Callithrix jacchus: one gene and its partner. The protein of the gene in region 2 interacts with the protein of the main gene of each other region in a biochemical or structural test. Links are inferred from orthologs where the notes say so. Each region holds a gene or a part of one and is shown on either strand. Other genes may lie near its edges.

Region 1 (4,327 bases), on a different chromosome or scaffold from region 2:
AAAGATTTCAGGTTCCAGGACACGTCATTTATCATGCAGAGTTCCAAGCAGGCACATTTGCAGTGGAAACCGGGCTCCAGTAAGGTTAAAGAAATGAACTTCTCGTTCCATCTCCACATGGGAGGAATGTTCTGGAGGGACAACATCCTAAATTCATCTAGCCAGTTTTTTTTTTTTTTTTTTCCCAAACTCCACAGCATGCCTCCCTGCCCCGATAGATGAGACTGCACAGAGGCAGGGCAGGCACGGGAAATGACTCGTTGGAAATCACAAACACATACACACAGAATGCAAGCACCCTAACTCTTTGAACACACAGTGGTCTGTGCCTGGCCCCAGACCTACCTCAGGATTTCAACAGCACAAAAGTCAGAATACGGCTGACTGCATGATACTCTCCTACCAATCAGGTGAAACAAAGACCCGGTACTCTAAAGTATTCCAGGCAAAATTTTAATAACAGGCAATAGAAAGGTTTGATAGGCCAGTGCTAACAAGAAAGCCTTCGACATTTTCTTCAAGCCGTTAGGACAATGGAAAGGGAGGTACCCCTCCAACAGGCACCCTGCAGAGAAAACTATACTCTGGAAGCTGCCTGTGCTGTTGAAAGGGCTAGGCGTGTGACAAACAGCTAACTGGAGGGGTACCAGGGAGACAAACTGCCAACTATGAAGAACAAAGCAGAGACCTTAACTTGTCATGTCTCAAGCTGAGATGTACAAACTCTGTGATCATCAAGTGAGGCTTGTGTGTCTGCCTGGGGATGTGACTGTATTCCAGTGATCAGCCACCTAGCTGACCTGCCACGAATGGGTGACCTCTGGTGACTTATTTTAATAACCGTACTTACTACTTCTAGATTGACTGTGTTATTTAAGGTTCTGACATATCCAGGTAAGAAAATAAAAGCAAGTGTTTCCTAGACTCCTGACTGGGATTTGAAACAGAAATCCTGAAAAGCCCATAAATAAGCCTATTTTCCTAAATCCTTGGTGGAAATTCCCAAAAGATGAAAAAATCCAGACCCTGTCTTATTATAGGGACCTAGCATATTTCAAAAGACCCAAGAGGTCAGCTGACTCTGGTTATTAACTGAAATTGCTGAGACACAGATGAACATCCCAGGCACGGAATCCAAAATTCTCTAGAGTGATAATTATCTATGACTGCAATGATACTACCGAGGCCGTATATACTTCATTTTTACAGTATAACAAAATGCCTATAACTTAGAAGAGCCCTTCAATGTTCAGGCCACTCAATACCAGATCCAAGTAGGTTTGGTTCCTCGATTACCAACCAAGCCCTGAATTCGATCCTGTTATCTCAACAGTTTGGGGTACTGATCCCACACAGCATACAGACAACCTGTGAAAGGCTCGGCAGAGCCCATTCTTGTTCCTGGAAAAATAACCAGAAGCACACATCTGCCTGACCATGAGTCAGGAATATCAATTTTGTGGTGGAGCCCATTTCTGCTGTGACCAACCCACACCCGAACACACTCACAACAGAAGCAACCCCCACAGAGCAATTCCAGAATGAGCTTTTTCCCCCTCGGGGTCCATACTTATCAATGTCATAAACGGTCTCCCCTTCGAGAGCAATCCTTTTAAACTCTTCATAATGACCCTAAGTCTTTAGTGCAAAACCACAGAAACATTGCCACTGCCACACAAAAGTCATCTGAGTTTCAGTTTGGGTGATTCGGTCATAACCAAACTCAACAGAGAATAACCTTTCGGGCACAATGAACAGTAGCCACAGCGTCGCGATAAACTTGCCCCATCTCGTACCGGTGATCCGGAGCGCTCCAGGGCGATGAGAGCCCGTTACCTACTATGTCCCACTCCACTTATGTAACTGGAAGATCGCCGGCGAAGGGGGGGTAGGATGGGAGGGTGCTCACATTCCGAGGCCACAGCACCCCCAAAGAACCTCTGAGCACCCTGAGGACACGCTCACACCTAAGAGCCTCAGGCGCCGAAGAGCCTCGGGTGCTGCTGGACGCACAGCACCCTACCCACGGCTCCTGATGGGAACTATAACCACCCCTTTATGATGAGTTGTGGGACCCAGAACACAATGTCTAGTCCCTTTTGTGGACAATAATCCCCACCTACTTGTTCCTGCTAGATGGGGAAAGGAGCCGGCGGACCGACTCGCTCGCAGTGGGGGCAGAAATTCATGGAATGGGCGAGAAGGAGGGGGAGGCAAAGCCCGGAGATGGGGGTGAGAGCGCAGGAGCCCTTGTGGCGCACTCTCCCGACGGGAGGCGAAGTGCGCACGCGCGCCGGTGGGGGGGCCGAGTAACGGGAGAGGGGGCGCGCGAGGGAGGGAGAGGGGAGAGCGCGATCCAGGGAGAGACCGGGGCCGCGGGCGCGCGACGACGCCGCGGCCCAAAGCCCCGAAAAGGGCAGGAGCGCGCGCAGCCCCGACAGGCGAAGCCCCGGCGACAGCGGCGCCCGCGGGGCCGGGGGCCGGGGGCCGGGATGCGCGCAGAGGGCGGGAGAAAGAGGTGCGCCAGGCGAAGGAGGCTCCGGGGAGGCCGCGCCGAGGACGGTCACCCGCGAGCACGGGTGACGGGCCGAGGGGGAGAGTCGCCACCGGCGGAGGGAGGGGGAGGGTACAGAGGAGGGACGCCATCCGCCAGCCGTGTCGTCCGACCCCGCGGGCCCCTCCCGCGCCACGTCCCGCCCCTGTCCCCCGCCCCCCAGCAAGGGTCCCCGCCCGCGGCCACGGCGGTCCCACTCACAGTCTCTCCTCCTCGCCTCCTCCTCCTCCTCCGCTCGGCGCGGCGGCGGCGGCGGCCATTTTCCGGACGGCTTTTACCACAGCCCTCTCTCCGAGAGGAGGGAGCGCGCGCGCCGCCGACGCCGGGACCCCGCACGGCCGACGTCGCGCCCCGCCCTCCCGGCCGGCCCGCGCGCTGCTGCACCTGCGCGCCCGCGCCCCGCCCCCGGCGCAGCTGCGAGCCCACCCGTCATTGGCTGGGGCGGCCGGGTTGGGGCGGGGAGTCTCAGCGGTGATGTCGTCAATTGGCGAGATTTTCTGTCCATTTCGGCCAGGGAAAAGAGGGCAGACCCCTCTAGCTGTTCATTGGCTGCTTTCGGCCGTCGTTTGGGGAAAAGAGGCGGCTTGGGCGCGGAGGGGTTTAGTGGGCGGAATTTGAATGTTAAGGATTAATGGGCCCTTGCGGATGCTGGGGCAAGTGAAGGTGTAGGCTTGGGACGTTGTTTGCGTCCCAAGCAAACCCTCTGTCCGCAGATGCATCGAGTGCGCTGCAAAAGGGTTGCATTGCACCCGCATTTTCTCAATATCACCATCTTCAGCAGAAGCAGCAAAGTTGTCCGCCCTGGAGCCTGACGTTGCTCCAGCTGAGGGGCCTTGGTTTCAGAGGCCTACTCGTTGCATTATTTCATCTGAGCCTGCCGGGTGCTTACGCTCATAGGGGCGGGGAATAAACTGACGACAAATCCCAACCCTGGCCTTCGCAGAACTCTGGCGGGGGAAGAGAGTGCATGCCAAGGCCTCGTGACACCTGTCATTGTTGGATCAGATGGTTTGGTGGAGGTGTGAATAAGGAGCGCAGAGAAAGCTGCACTTAGGTCTTCCTGGAAGATGTGATTTGGGAGCTGAGATCCAGCAGTTTTTCACTTTCCTAGAAGAGTTGATTTGCAGTTGAGATCCAGCAACTGTGTTTTGGGAAAATAAGAGTATAGAAAAAGTGTTAGCCAACCAGGCGTTCAGGACAGGGATGTTTGTTAAGGGGACCTTACCCTGGTGCCAGTCATTATCCAATCCATGCAATGATCTTTGTGTTAGTTCTGTGCTTAGCAAGAAAACCTGGTTCTGATTTGGCTGCCTGCCCCCATTCATTTATTGACTACCTGCTATGTGCCAGGCACTCTTCCAGGTTCTGGGTGCACAGTACTGAACAGACAGCAGACTAACATTCTTGCCGGGAGAGTCATACTAGCATACAAATAAGTCTAATATGTAATTTCACATAGTGATAAAGGCTTCAAGAAAGAAAGTAAGAGTGAAGGGAATGCTGTTTAGATAGCTACTGGTTTTCACCCTCATTTTCCTCCCCCTTATGAATATCTGGGGAAAGAACATTCCAGGCAAGTTCAAAGGCCATGAGGAGAGACTATGCCTGGCATGTTGGGGACTAACAAGGAGGTCAATGTTGCTGGAAAGTGGTAGGGAATGTGATTGGAGAGGCAGCCGGGGCCACTATGAGAATTGGGAGTTTATTCTTTTTTTTTTTTTTTTTTTTTTTTTGAGATGGGGGCTCATTCTGTTGCTCAGGCTGCAGTGCAGT
Region 2 (3,803 bases):
AGCTTTAAAACGGGATCGATTCCCCTAATCACAATTGAGGACTTGTTCTTTTCACCAAACTCTGACACCTGGTCAGGCGCTGTGTGTCACTGGTCCTGACGTCCCCAGGGTTCAGCATTGGGTACAGTCCTCAGTAAACACCCGATGGACAAATGACAAAAAAAGACGCCACAGCACACGAGGTACACGGCAAGTTTTAAAGGAGACTCTCTGTGCTGCAAAGGATGGACTGATAATAACTTTACTTGTTTTCAGGGAGGAGGTTAATGGGTGGGAGGGGTGAGGGAGGTCTGATTTACACAGGCACTTGAGATTCCCAAGGAAGTACCCCGGGTCGTCCTCAGCAAGGTTGCCCCGTGGGGTCTGCGGCCCAGGTGGCCTCCGAGGCCCAGGTGGCCTCCTGCAGCCGGGGCGGAGTCCCGGAGGGGGGCGAAGCGGGCTGTAGGGAGGGGCTGGGGGGGGTAGTGGGCGGGTGAGGCGAGGCCCGGCCCGCCACAGTCCTGCCTCTGGGCCCCGGGAGCGTCCTCCCTGTGTCCGGGCCGGGCGAGGGCTTAATGCTATGGCCAGCGGGGAGGCCTGGCGGGGCCCGGCGGGGGCTGCGGGCTCAATGGGGCGGGTGGCGCCGCTCGGCCAGGCCCCCGCGGCCCAGCACTTCGCCGCTGAACTGGTAGGTGAGCTTCTTCTTCACCTTCTTGACCTCCCCCGTCTTGCCGTAGTTGCGCAGCGCGCGCGCCATCTTCTGGTAGGTCATCTTCTTGCGGTTGCCCTTCTGGATGCCCCAGCGGTGCGCCAGTGCCTCCTTATGCTTGGACGAGAACTGGAAGGTGCCCTTGTCCTTATCCACCCACCAGATGCTGTCCTTCATGTCTCCGCTGCGGAGCAGGTCCAGCAGGAACTGGTACAAGCGGATCTTCTTCTTGCTGCCTGCGGTGGGAGGGCCCGGTGGGAGGGGGCCTGGGGCCCACGCAGGAGCCGCCCCCACCGCCACGCGCACGCACGGGGACCCGGGAACGGAGGTGGCCGGGAAAGGCAGGGAAATGGCTACCCCAGCCCGCGCCGGGTGTACACACACAACGCATCCACACTAATGCACACACACACACCTGCTCGCACACACCCGTTCACACTCACTCCCAAACATGTACCCACACCGTGTACCCACTCACCTGCTCACACACCTCGTTCACACCCACCGACAACCACACATGCACTCACACCTTGCACCACCACACACACCCACACAACGCAACACACACCTACACATGCTCACACACCCACATAACACACACCTTATACTTTCTCATGCCCCATACCCACTCACACCTGCTCACACACATCCTCATATACCTCACACCATTCACACGCACACACCCACTCACCTGCTCACACCTGCTCACACCCACGGTCACACTCACCTCACCTGTTTATAAACACACCTGCCCACACAGCTCACACCAGGTCTCACACACACTCATGCTCACACACATGCTCACATCTCACATTCGTACCCACTCACAAGCTCACACCTCACACACATGCTCACATATTACACACACACCTATTCACTCATACCTGCACACACATGCTCACACCACACGCTCACACCTCATACATGCCTGCTCACACCTCACCTGCTCACACATGTGGTTACACACGCTCACACCAGCTCATTCACACATTCACACCTCACCACACCACTCACACACTTGCACCTCACATCTGCTCACATATGCATGCACATTCTGCTCATACATCCATTCTGACACCCACACCCACCTGCATGCTTACACACATGCTCACACAACAACTCGGGCACCCACTTGCACACTCAAATGCTCATACTTGCCAACACATAAACCTGCTCACACACACTGCTCACACACCCACTCACAGCTGCTCACACACATGCATATTCATGCATGCTCACACACACCTGCTCACACACTCGAACATCACACCCACTCATATCCATTCCTTTTTTTTTTTTTTGAGATGGAGTTTTGCTCTGTTGCCCAGGCTGGAGTGCAATTGCACGATTTCGGCTCACTGCAACCTCTGCCTCCCACGTTCAAGCGATTCTCCTGCCTCAGCCTCCCAAGTAGTTGGGATTACAGGCATGCACCACCACGCCTGGCTAATTTTTGTATTTTTAGTAGAGACGGTTTCGCTGTGTTGGCCAGGCTGGCCTCAAACATGTGACCTCAGGTGATCCACCTGCCTTGGCCTCCCAAAGTGCCTAGGATTACAGGTGTGAGCTACTGCACCCAGCCCACTCACACCTATTCTCACACACACTCAACACACCTACTGTCACACCTGTTCACACACCCACTCACATGCATACCACACACACACGCAGATGCTCAAACATGCCCTCACCCCCTCACACACAAGAACTCATACATGCTCACACCTGCTAAAACACATCCACTCAGATACATGTGCAAACCTCACATATACACATACATGCTCACACACCCCAGCTCACACCTTCCTGCTCACACTTGAACCTGCTTACATACACAAGCATGTTCACACCCACTCACATCCACTTACACACACCTGCTCCCACACTCATAACCATTCACACTCATATCACACATGCCCCCGCTCATATACACATTCACATATACATACTTGCTCACACACATGCTCACACAACACACCTCCCACACCTCCACTCACACATATTACACACACCTGCTCACACACCCACTCACACACACCATGCTCACACATGCACACACACTGCTGACAGCCACTCATGTGATACCTGCACACCTCACACACATGCACACACACACTGAAATGCATTCATATGCTGACACACACACAAACATGCCCACACCCACTCTCATCCACACCAGCTCTCACATTCACCTTCACACACACCCACTCACGGCCACTCACACACATTCACCTGCCCATACCTGTTCACACACACTTGCTCACACCCAGATCCACACATACTCGGGGCACAGAGAGACACCCACACCTGGCACACTTCATGAAGATGCCTGCATGCACTCACAGCAGATACCCACACACACATAGAGACAGCCACAGACAGCCCCACAAAACACACACATTGGCAAACATGGCACACACACACACACACATACACTCGGTGGCATGGCTGCTGGGTCAGTTAGCCTGGCTGGGTGGGGGCAGGGCACAGACACAGCCAGGGGCGGGGCTGGGGTGGAGGGCCAGGCACCCCACCTGTCTCCCCGGGCAGGAGCCCAGGCCCGGGCTCCAGGCCGTCCACCTCGCCGTCAGACACCTCCAGTGGGGGGCTCTGTCGCTCGCCCTCCTCCTCATCAGAGCTGGGCTGGGCCGGGGACAGGGACGGGTACGGGAGGCACATCCGGGGCACATAAGGGACCTGGATGGTGGGAGAAGTAGATTGGAGTCAGAAAGGGCCAGCTTACAGCTCAGTGGGCTGGGAGGGAGGTCAGCTGGGGAGAGAAGAGGGAGTGCAGAGGGCAGAGGATGATGGCAGGCAACAGGAGACTAGGGGACAGCCAGGGAAAAGCGTGGGACAGCCAGGGAAAAGTGGGGGCCAGTCCAGGTGCTGCACACGGAATGCAGGCTGTGGGGCGAGGGGTGCCGACGTCCAGCCCACCCAGCACTCCCAGCTGAGCCTCCCAGTTCAGGGCTGCAGTGCCTGATTCTCCTCCTGGTGGAGGTGCTGTGTGACCCCACAATGGGCTGGGGTCAGAAGTGGGTGTGCTGGGGGCCAGTGTGTTGGGTCTGGAAGGGTGTTTGATAGGCAGTGTGATGAGTGAATGGAGGGACCCTGG

What was found.
Region 1: the proteins of SPI1 (region 2) and MECP2 form a complex in vitro, tested with the Homo sapiens proteins (2 studies listed by BioGRID). The link is inferred for Callithrix jacchus from reciprocal best matches to the Homo sapiens genes SPI1 and MECP2.

Annotation. Positions count from the first base shown.
Region 1 is NC_133524.1:150,008,450-150,012,776, forward strand, and holds the start of MECP2 (methyl-CpG-binding protein 2), read right to left. Parts: upstream 2,848-4,327; 5' UTR 2,815-2,847; coding exon 2,756-2,814; intron 2,285-2,755; exon of another isoform or gene 2,124-2,284; intron 1-2,123. UniProt on the Homo sapiens protein: Chromosomal protein that binds to methylated DNA. It can bind specifically to a single methyl-CpG pair. It is not influenced by sequences flanking the methyl-CpGs.
Region 2 is NC_133511.1:112,413,020-112,416,822, forward strand, and holds the end of SPI1 (transcription factor PU.1), read right to left. Parts: intron 3,386-3,803; coding exon 3,223-3,385; intron 925-3,222; coding exon 605-924; 3' UTR 226-604; downstream 1-225. UniProt on the Homo sapiens protein: Pioneer transcription factor, which controls hematopoietic cell fate by decompacting stem cell heterochromatin and allowing other transcription factors to enter otherwise inaccessible genomic sites.